Linked DNA regions of Macaca mulatta. The protein of the gene in region 2 purifies or fractionates together with the protein of the main gene of each other region. This does not show direct contact. Links are inferred from orthologs where the notes say so. Each region holds a gene or a part of one and is shown on either strand. Other genes may lie near its edges.

Region 1 (3,746 bases), on a different chromosome or scaffold from region 2:
CTGCAGTGAGCCAAGATCGTGCCACTGCACTCCATCCTGGGTAATAGCAAGACTCCGTGGGGTGGGGAGGAAGCTACAAATTGTATGATTCCATTTATATGAAATGTCCAAAAGAGGCAATCCATAAAGTAGCTTAGTGATTACCTGGGGTGGCTAGAGGGAGGAATAATGAGTGACTGCTAATAGGTATTGTTTGGGGATTGACAACAATGTTCTAGAATTAGGTAGTGGTAACCGATGCATAATTCTGTGAGGACTAAGAACCACTTAATTTAATAAACTTCAATAAATGGGTAAATTTTATGCCATATAAATTAAATCACATTAAAGCTGTGATTTTAAAAAAGAATTATATATACATCATAAGGTCAATTATAAAGAAAATTCAATTTATTTATTTATTTATTATTTTTTTGAGATGGAGTCTTGCTCTGTCCCTCAGGCTGGAGTACAGTGGCGCCATCTCGGCTCACTGAAACCCGGGGGTTCAAGCGATTCTCCTGCCTCAGCCTCCTGAGTAGCTGGGACTACAGGTGCTTGCCACCACACCCTGTTAAAATTTTTAGTAGAGACAGGGTTTCAGTGTTAGCCAGGATGTTCTCGATCTCCTGACCTCATGATCTGCCGTCTCTGCCTCCCAAAGTGCTGGGATTATAGGCGTGAGCCACTGCACCCAGCCTCAATTTAAAAATCTGGAAGATGACAAATGTTTATCTGTGTAATGAGATTATGGATGACTATAAAGCAGAAAAGTGTAAACACTAACAGTTTAGGAGAAGGTGGGGCACCTGACTTAGGTCACAAACTCCCCGCCTCTGATGGCAGCCCTTATCTACAGTGGAACCCCATCCTGTTACATATAAGTTACATGCCTTGCATTTTCACCCAAGCTAAACATTACAGAGAGCAGGGTGCTACTGTATCAGGGCTGTAAATCAGAGATCAAACAGATTCTGTCAGTACTTTTTTGCGCTACATTTTTGTCTCCTTAGTAACCAGCCCACAGCAAATTTGTGTTCAGTGAATGGACTGCCTGGACCTTATGAAGCTGTCCAATTGAATCCTTCACTCTCTTGAAAACCATTTATCCACACCTGAACTCAAGGCTCTTCTAGGGATGACTCAGGACGGGTCTTGCAAGGTTAAGGGAGTCGGTGCCCTGGGATCCCCAGACCAGTACTTACTTTTCCCCGGCAACTTTCCGCACTAATTTCGCTTCTGTCCCATTCAGTTCCAGCTCCCAACCTCCAGACATCTTAGGGAGGGTTTTATGCTTCTGGATTTTTCTTTCCTCCTCAATTTCATCCTTCAGGAAATCAACAAAAGCTTTGTCTCCTAGAAAAGAAATCCATATACATAAAAAGGAAAGCCAGTTAGTCTAAAACATAAAACTATTACCCTGGTTATCGCAGCCAGAAACCTGGACTATTTCTAATCTCTCTGCTATTACAGTTACTCTAGAAGCCTCAGTTTCCTTATCTGTAAAAATACCATAATATTAGTGGGAAGCTGAGCCTGATGCTGGAAAAGTGATTTCCAACAATGAACGCATTACCACTTTCCGCTATAAAGCAGAAGAATTTCCGATCATCCTCTTCCACTTGCCAAACGATAGTTGTATCGTATGCTATTTTCAAACACGACCTTGGGCTTTCCCAAAAGTCCACTTTCGAGAGAATAAGACTAAGGATGAAGGTACCCTCTAGTATTTAATTTTATTCACCCCCCTACCAACAGAAAATGAAACTGGTGGATAGGGGAGGTGGGGGGAATATGATCACACGTGGGTTTAACCCGCTGGTTGCCAATCAATGGAAAAATGTCCCAGACCTCGGAGGTCGGTTGCAGGCCCCACTCCTGGTCTTTTCCCCTCCGTGAACCGCAAACCACACCCCTGGCCCGCGTGCGCGAACCTCACCTTCAGTGTGCAGCAAGCCGCAGCCACAGCCACAGGCGCAGGGTCCTCGAGGCCGCAGGAGGCCCGGCCGCCGCTCGGAACCTGTGCGCACGCTGAGCAGCCCGAAGGGCCGGGCGCACAGCCGGGGCGCCGGCTGCAGGAGCTGCCGGAAAGGCGAGGCGGGCGCGGCAGCGCGGAGGCTGGGGACGGCGGAGCCCAGCACACGAGGCACGCAGCGCAGCAGAGGTAGCATCGCGCAATCCACTGCGAACACGTGCAGATGCAAAGGACAACCCAGGCCCAAGTACCCCGCGACCTAAAGCGCCGCCGGAAGCCCCGCCCTTGCCCGGAAGCGCTTCCCGCGCCGGCGCACTGAGGACCTAAGGCCCCAGGCGGAATCGCGCCTTCTGCTGGAGGCCTCCTGTGCAGCCCGGGAAGCCTCGAATCCGGTTTCCGGAGCCTTCTTGCTGCGCTGGCCTGAGTCCTCTGTCCGAAGCTGTTTAATTATTTCTAGTGGCCGCTTCCACCTACTGTTTTCAAGGCACGCCAGGCTTTTGGGCTGTGTGGAATGCACTCTTGTCTTCCCCCAGCTCTCACCAGCCCCTTACACGGTCACTTTCCTCTAGGAGGCTGTGGTGTTATATTATGTATTTATTGGTTTTCATCCCCAGTTCCTGGGTCGTAACTCCCATAGCCCTCGTTACAGTGTTCTGTGATAATGTTGGGTGTGTTAGGCCTCAGGAAACAGACTCTCACTCTCCCCTTCTCCCGCCCTCCTTTCACCCGCCCCAATGCAGGACTCTAATCTCCCACATTTCTGATTATGGGTCTTAAGTCCCTTCCCAGAGAAGGTCCCACCCTCTACCCTGGGGGAAGGGATGCTGATGTCCAGAAGCTTCCATAAAAACCCATGAGGACAGGGTTTGCAGAACCTCTGATAGCTGAATACGTGGAGGTTCCTGGAGGGTGGTGGCCCAGGGACGGCGAGGAAGCTCGGAGCTTCTTCCCCACTGCCCACCCTGCTCATCTCATCTGTATCCTTGGTAATATCCTTTATATGAAACCGGTAAAAGTGTTTCCCTGAGTTCTGTGAGCTGCTCCAGTGAGTTAATACAACCCAAAGAGGGGGGTCGTGGGAACCCCCACTTGAAGCGGGCTGGTCGGAAGTTTCAGAGGCCCAGACTTGCCATTGCTGTCTGAAGGTCGGGGCGGTCTTGGGGACTGAGCCCTCAACCTATGGGATCTGACACTGTCTCATGGGATCTGACACTGTCTCCAGGTAGATAATGTTGGGATTGAATTGGAGGACACCCCGCTCGTGTCTGCTGCTTAGTGTGGAGGGAAAAAACCCAAACCTTTGGTCACAGAACTCTTCTGTGCTGATTGTTGTAAGAGCAAAGGAAGAAGTCAGGGTTTTCCTGAAAGAGGCCTTCCTAGAACCTCCTTTTTTCCATCGGCTTAGAACTCATGCTTGTGCGCACCCAGCCCTTAGGCTTCATTCTCTTTTCAACAGAAACCTCCTGGCATTGCTGGTTTTAACCGGGTTAAACCCAACCAGACTGTGACATCCTGAAGGGCAGGATCCATGAGTAATTTCTGTGACCTTCCCTCTCTGCACCTCCGACCCTGCATCCAAGTTCTAATGGAACATCATTTTTCTGGGGACAAGAAGCCGGCTTGTATCATTTAGATAGGTCCAGAAGCTTCCATAAAAACCCAAGGACAGGGTTTGGAGAGCCTCTGATAGCTGAATACGCGGAGGTTCCTGGAGGGTGGTGGCCCAGGGAGGGCGTGGCAGCTCGGAGCTTCTTCCCTATTCCCCACCCTGCTCATCTCCATCTGTATCCTT
Region 2 (3,746 bases):
ATGAGTGAGAACATGCAGTGTTTGGTTTTTTGTTCTTGCAATAGTTTGCTGAGAATGATGGTTTCCAGCTGCATCCATGTGCCTAACAGCACTCAGATCTCATTATTTTCTTGCCCAAACCCTCCAACAGTTTTCCAAAGCCAGGACCTTCATTTAGGGGAGATGCCACAGCTAGGTTTATGAAAGTCTCAACCCAGGCCTAATAAAAAGGAAGTACTGGCATGTGCACGGGGCGGAGTGGGCAGGAGTGTAAACTTTCTTTTTTTTTTTTTTTGAGACGGAGTCTCGCTCTGCCACCCAGGCTGGAGTGCAGTGGCCGAATCTCAGCTCACTGCAAGCTCTGCCTCCTGGGTTCACGCCATTCTCCTGCCTCAGCCTCCCGAGTAGCTGGGACTACAGGCGCCCGCCACCTCGCCCGGCTAGTTTTTTGTATTTTTTAGTAGAGACGGGGTTTCACCGTGTCAGCCAGGATGGTCTCGATCTCCTGACCTCGTGATCCGCCCGTCTCGGCCTCCCAAAGTGCTGGGATTACAGGCTTGAGCCACCGTGCCCGGCCAACTTTCAATCCCAGATACTCAAAACATCTCATTTCAGGTCCTGGAGCTTTTTGGGGGAAAATGTACCAAAAGTACCCACTCCTCAGAAAAAACACATGTTCACACAAACTTTTCCAGTAAGTTCTTTTTTGGGGGGAAGGGGGGGTTCCACAAACTCCCTGATTTAAAATCTGCTTTCCTTCCACAGCCTTCTCCATCTCAAAAATGGCAATTCCATCCTTCCAGCTACACACCCCCAAACCCTTGGTTATCCTTGACTCTGCTCACACACCCACATACAATCTGTTGGTTCTGTCTTCAAAAGCATGTAAAACCGTCAGCATGTCCACTGCTTCCATCCTGGTCCACCACACCACCTCCTAGATTACAGCAACAAGCTTCCCACCGATTTGCCTGCTTCCACATTTGCCACCCTGAGGTCTTTCACACATGGAAGCAAGAAGAATCCCTTTTAAAAATGTCAGACTGCACCACGCCCCTGCTCAAAAGCTCCCAAAGGGTTCTCTCACTCAGACTAAAATCCTTACTAAAGAGCTAACACCTGACAACTTTTACAACTTCACATTCTACCACACAACGGAAGAAGGTTGGAAGAAGGGGTATCCTCCATTTCTGAGGGAATCATAGACCAGGATGCCTGCAGGCAAGTCAGGATCTCAATAGGAGAGATACCTGGCCTACAATCCCTCAGCCCACTTCATCAGGAGATCCCCCAAACACGGAAGAGAAAGGGAGGTTGGGAGAAGGGCACGGATCCACAAATCTCCTGCCAGGTGACCCCAATCTCTCCACACAAACACACACAAAAAAGAAAAATAAAGCCTGTTCCAGGAAAACAGACCCTTTGGGCCATGGTGGAAAATTCTCCAAACTCAATGAAGCAAGTTCTCACACAGACGAGTGGGGGTTGGGCAGGCCAGATGGAGGAAGTGCTCAGACACCACGGAGAAGGATTCTAATTTTGTTCTCTTTGAGAAAGATAAAGGCAACAGCTAGAGCCAATACTATTATGTCAAGCACTGTGCTATTTTTTTTTTAAACGTCGCTTAATCCTAACTGGCGCCTTTTTATTGATGAGAAAACAGAGGCTCAGAGAGGTAAAGCCACTTGCCCAAGGTCACACAGCAGGCTAAGAAGCTGAGCCAGAACTGAAATACTAAACTGAGGCCCTTCTGCTGTCAAAGCCAGGACCCTCATCATTCCACCATGAAGGCAGTGGGTTCAGCAGAATCTAATGGAAAATCGAAAGAATAAAACCACTTACGTCCTGTGACAGCCACCCACCCCCCTACCCCAATCTAATGCCGAGCTTGTTAAGTCTCGCCCCGGAGGTGGAAATCTTAGTCCCCAAATCTCCACTCCATCCCTGGGGATCCGCCCCCCTGTAAGTGCAGAAGGCGGGAAAGTGAGCCAGAGTGCCGCACACGGCCAACCGAGGAGTCCTCCGCTCCGGCCCACTCGGAAAAGCTGGGTTGGGGGATAAGGGGATGGTGGTGGTGGCAGCGACAGGGAAGGCAAATAGGGGCTTCCCACACACATCTCCAGGACCCAAGGTCAGGAACTCTCCATCTCCGACCCAAGGCTGATTCCCAAAACACGCCCAGCGATCCAAGACTCCAGATGCCGGGATCCAGACTCTAGTCCAAGACTCCTGAGTGCCGCCTCCTGCCCAATATCCAAAATCCCTATTAGACGGCCTCAAAGAGACGAACGCCAGGTCAAGACCCCCAATGCCAGGCCCAAGGCCTTCTTCGACTCACGACCGTGACCTCCGAAGCCAGTCAATAACCCCTAGACCTCCTGGAATCAGGATTCCCCTTCCCACAAGAGACCGGATCCGTGCTCAGAACCCCTGCCCCCAGGCCAAGGCCCCACCCCTCCGATTCTGGCCTGGCACCCGGATTCCCGCCCGGCCTCCGTCCCTGATCCCGGACCCCACCCCAGCCTGACCTGGCTTCATGGTGAGCCCGGGTTTGTGCGGCTCCGGAGCCCGCGGCGTTCACAACTCCACGAGTCCGGGGCTTTCGCACGTGGAAAAGAGCGCAGGCGCGCGGCGACGTGCAGCGCGTGACGCAACCACGTAGCCCCGCCCCGGCCCCCTGCCCCGCTTGGAGCTCGGCGCACGCACAGTGGGCGAGGAATCTCGAGCCTATCGAAACTAAGCCGGTTACCCTCACTCTCTGCCTTCCCAGCCTTTGCTTGTGCAGCGGTCTCCCTAAACTCGCTTCCGGTTTCCTCTTCCCCAGTGCGAGCACCCCAATAATCAGGGCTCATAGCGAGGCCTTCCCACGGGCTGTGCCCTCTGCCCCCTCTTTTGTATTTCTAACTCCCTGGGGTCCCTGTACACCCAAAACGGCTTCCCTGACACATTTCCAGCGCCAAGAACAGTGACCGACTCTGTGCTTCCATTCATACATCCGAAAAACATTTACCGTGCCCCTCATGTATACCAGGCGCTGTTCTAGGAGCTGGGAATACAGCGGTGTACGAGACCTAAGAATCTCCACTCTCGGCCGGGCGCGGTGGCTCAAGCCTGTAATCCCAGCACTTTGGGAGGCCGAGACGGGCGGATCACGAGGTTAGGAGATCGAGACCATCCTGGCTAACACAGTGAAACCCCGTCTCTACTAAAAAATACAAAAAACTAGCCGGGTGAGCTGACAGGCGCCTGTAGTCCCAGCTACTCGGGAGGCTGAGGCAGGAGAATGGCGTGAACCCGGGAGGCGGAGCTTGCAGTGAGCTGAGATCCGGCCACTGCGCTCCAGCCTGGGCAAGAGAGCCAGACTCCGCCTCAAAAAAAAAACAAAACAAACAAACAAACAAACAAACAAAAAAGGAATCTCCACTCTCCTGGAGTTAATCTTTTTAATGGAGGAAATGGACACCAAACATGTTGAATGTTAGAAGGCAGTAAGTGCTTTGGAGAAAATCACGGCAGGGAAAGGGGATAGAGATTTTGGAGGGCAAGTGATTTTTGTTTTTTTGGCATGGTGGTCAGGGAATGCATCAGGTGACTTTTGAGCTAAAGAGCTGAAGGAAGTGAGGAGTGAGGCATGCACCTATCTAGGGGAAGGGAGTTCCAGGCAGGGAAGAGATCTGCAGATGCAGAGGCCCTGAGGAAGGAAAGATACGGGAAGTTGGAGAGAAAATGAGGAGGGTGATTGGGGCAAAGTGAGCAAGATGGAGAGT
Region 3 (3,746 bases), on a different chromosome or scaffold from region 2:
CTTTAAAATTTGTAGAGAGAGGGGGGTTTCACTATGTTGTCCAGGCTGACCTCTAACTCCTGGGCTTAAGGGATCCTCCCATCTTGGCCTTCCAAAGTGTTGAGATAACAGGTGTGAGCCACTGTGCCTGGCCAGTTTTATACAGGAGAGGGGAGTGTCTGGAGAAAGGCAAAGGAGAGGTGTGTTCCATGAGAATCCTTATCCTTCTTGAGCGGCATTAGTGGGAGGTAGCCAAGGGGTAGTGGGTAGGATCGAAGCGATTGCTAACTGCTAATATGATCTGAAATGTGGCAGAACTTGGAATTAACTTGGTAGATGTGAGCATTGATATTGGAGTTACTCATGACAAAGGGAGCAACTCTGACCCTGGAGAAAGAAGGGCTATTCAGGTTTAGTGCAAGACATCTTTCCTCTTCATGGAGCTGACCTAAGGCGGAATATAAGGGGAATGGGAGGGGCGGCTTGGAAATCAACACCTGCCACCCTCACGACTGATAACTTGAAGGATCCTCTGGACGACTGATAACTTGAAGGATCCTCTGAACAACACCTCCCACCCTCACGACGGATAACTTGAAGGAGCCTCTGCAGCAGAGGCAGGAGTCTGGAGGCTGGGATAGTATCAGAAAGGGCCTCCCTGGGTGTTGGAGGCAATGAAGATGAAGGGCGAGAATCCATTGGCCGCGCCAGTGCGCCAGTGGGGGCGGTTGGGAGATCTTGTAGACCAAGTCTAGAACGGGACTGTTCGAGCCCGCTTGTCCACTCATTACTCTGGAATCCGAATCCCAGCAGGGGCGCGGGAAACCGCTGCTCTGAGAAAAGGTACCTCCCCCAGAAAGACAGCGCGGGAAGTCCCGAGTTTCCCGCCACGCCGAGGGCGTGACCCTTGACGTCAGAGCTCCACCTCCACAAACTGGCGGCCAGTGGGCTCCGCCCTTAACCAAGATGGCGATACACGTGGGACCGGAAAGAGTTTATAGATTTCCCGTCTACCCTACCTCTGAGGTGGAGGTGGGACTGTCCTGTGGAGCCCCGCCCTTTCCGCTATGCGCCCGCGCGGCGCAATGACGTACACGGGCCCGCCCACTGCCCCTGTTGGGTTCCTGAGTCGTGCTGCGTCGACAACGGTAGTGACGCGTATTGCCCGGAGGATGGCGGACGCCGGCTTGCGCCGCGTGGTTCCTAGCGACCTGTATCCCCTCGTGCTCGGCTTCCTCCGCGATAACCAACTCTCGGAGGTGGCCAATAAGTTCGCCAAAGCGACAGGAGCTGTGAGTTCCGGGCTTGGCGTGGGGACCGGGCTGAGATGACCACAAAGCTTCAGGCCCTGACGTGCTTAGGTTTCCAGGTGGGGAAGTCTGTGGGGTCCGCCAGTTCAGTGTCTGCAAGGCCTTTACGCCGACCCCTGGGCAGTGGTCAGAGAAAGCCTGCGGCCTCGGTCGCTCCTCTTCCCGCAGTTCTGACTAGATATCGCTGAGTCTTGTTGTTTTTTTTCTTGTGGAGCCGTGCAGTGGCGGCAGCGTGGGAGCCTCGTGGCCCGAAGTCACATGGCTGGCAGAGTGCAGCGGGGAGCTAGAGCCTTGTCCCACTGAGGACGTTGGTTCTTCGGCATCTGTTTCTTCTGGGGTGCTTTTCGTTGGATGAGGCAAACCGCGATTTGACCTTACCCTCAGTTACATTTACTGGGCTTCAAAAGCAAGTGAAATTGCTTTAGAATGAAGGCCGGGATTGTCGTTAGTAAAGAAGAAAATGAATGAAAGTAGAAGCAGAGTTTTGTTTTGAGTTACACTAATGAGAATTGAGCATCATAAACAGCCCTACCAAGCAGGCATAGTAGTGGGCTTGGAGCTTTGGCTAATGCAATCAAACAAACCTAGGTTTGGGACCAGGCTCTGTCACTTTTTAGATACGTGACCCGGGCAGTTTATTTAACCTCTCTGAGTCTTTCTACAGGGATGTCATCATCCACTTTATAGGATTTTTGTGAATTTCAGTAAGATGATGTGTAAGAGTAGCAATCTCAGTGCTGGTGCAGAGGAATCTTGTAGAAGTTAAAGCTGTACCATAATGATGGCAATTTAGGATGCTCCAAACACATGTGAGAGTAAGAGAACCAGGAATGGGAAAGGTTTGTAATCTTTCACATCAACAGACATCCCTGCATGGGAAGAGACCTTGAGGGAGGAGAGAGAGGAGGTCTTCTGCAGGGATGATAGCATGACTAGAAAGGATGGCTTGCACTTTTTTTTTTTTTTTTTTTTGAGACGAGTCTCGCTCGCTCTGCCGCCTGGAGTGCAGTGGCCGGATCTCAGCTCACTGCAAGCTCCGCCTCCCGGGTTCACGCCATTCTCCTGCCTCAGCCTCCCGAGTAGCTGGGACTACAGGTGCCGCCACCTCGCCCGGCTAGTTTTTTGTATTTTTTAAAGTAGAGACGGGGTTTCACCGTGTCAGCCAAGATGGTCTCGATCTCCTGACCTCGTGATCCGCCCGTCTCGGCCTCCCAAAGTGCTGGGATTACAGGCTGGAGCCACCGCGCCCGGCCGGCTTGCACTTTTAGCAGAATCAGGCTGCAAAAGCAAAAGAATCAGATCAGCTTCAGAACTTCCTTAAGCTGGGACATGCTGCCATGTGATCTAACTGCTTTCTTAATGAAACTGTTTAGAGTTGACTGTTAAGGAGACTGCAGAGAGGACTTTCACAGTGGACTGAATGGAATTGGACATTTCAGAATTAGGATTCTTTTTTTTTGTTTTTTTTTTGAGACGGAGTCTCTTGCCCAGTCTGGAGTGCAGTTGCCCAGGCTGGAGTGCAATGGTGCGATCTCGGCTCATTGTAACCTCCGCCTCCTAAATTCAAGAGATTCTCCTGCCTCAGCCTCCCGAGTAGCTGGGATTATAGGCGCGCACTGCCACGCCCGGCTAATTTTTTTATTTTTACTAGAGACAGGGTTTCACCATGTTGACCAGGCTGGTCTTGAACTCTTGACCTCAAGAAATTCGCCCGCCTCGGCCTCCCAAAGTGCTGGGATTACAGGCGTGAGACACCGTGCCTGGCCTCAGAATTAGGATTCTGAAATGGTTTTATGTGAGAAAAGCTAATCTTTGTGAAGAGTTTACTAAGGGTCAGGAGCTAAGCCCTTTACATGCATTTAATTTTTTTTTTTTTTTTTTTTTTTTTTTTGAGGCGGAGTCTGGCTCTGTCGCCATGCTGGAGTGCAGTGGCATGATCTCAGCTCGCTGCAACCTCTGCTGAAGTGATTCTCCTGCCTCAGCTTCCCAAGTAGCTGGGCCTACAGGTGTGCCCCACCAAGCCCAGCTAATTTTTTTTTTTTTTTTTGTATTTTTAATAGAGACGGGGTTTCACCATGTTGGCCAGGCTGCTTTTGAACTCCTGACCTCAAGAAATCCACCACCTGGGCCTCCCAAAGTGCTGGGATTATAGGTGTGAGCCACTGCACACGGCCAACATGCATTATGTCTTATCCTCTCAATAACTTAATGAGATGTGTAGTATTATCTCCATTTTATAGAGAATAAAATAATCTCAGGGAGACTAAGTAATTTGTCCAAAGGTGAGTTCCCATGTGTCCTGACTCTGGTCCTTTACTCTTTTTTGTACCCCAGAGTCTCACTCTGTTGCCCAGGTGGCAGTGCAGTGGTGCAATCTCAGCTCACCCCAACCTTCGCCTCTCAGGTTCAAGTGATTCTTATGCCTCAGCCTCCTGGATAGCTGGGATTACAGGCGCC

What was found.
Region 1: the proteins of FBL (region 2) and C1QBP purify together in Homo sapiens (affinity purification with mass spectrometry; 4 studies listed by BioGRID and IntAct, counting the BioPlex papers as one, with this or other methods). This does not show direct contact. The link is inferred for Macaca mulatta from reciprocal best matches to the Homo sapiens genes FBL and C1QBP.
Region 3: the proteins of FBL (region 2) and NOLC1 fractionate together in Homo sapiens (co-fractionation; 3 studies listed by BioGRID, with this or other methods). This does not show direct contact. The link is inferred for Macaca mulatta from reciprocal best matches to the Homo sapiens genes FBL and NOLC1.

What each region holds. Positions count from the first base shown.
Region 1 is NC_133421.1:6,940,217-6,943,962, forward strand, and holds the start of C1QBP (complement component 1 Q subcomponent-binding protein, mitochondrial), read right to left. Parts: upstream 2,204-3,746; 5' UTR 2,151-2,203; coding exon 1,919-2,150; intron 1,336-1,918; coding exon 1,185-1,335; intron 1-1,184.
Region 2 is NC_133424.1:50,974,418-50,978,163, forward strand, and holds the start of FBL (rRNA 2'-O-methyltransferase fibrillarin), read right to left. Parts: upstream 2,597-3,746; 5' UTR 2,518-2,596; coding exon 2,508-2,517; intron 1-2,507.
Region 3 is NC_133414.1:114,259,937-114,263,682, forward strand, and holds the start of NOLC1 (nucleolar and coiled-body phosphoprotein 1), read left to right. Parts: upstream 1-1,129; 5' UTR 1,130-1,151; coding exon 1,152-1,271; exon of another isoform or gene 1,272-1,306; coding exon of another isoform or gene 1,307-1,348; intron 1,349-3,746. UniProt on the Homo sapiens protein: Nucleolar protein that acts as a regulator of RNA polymerase I by connecting RNA polymerase I with enzymes responsible for ribosomal processing and modification.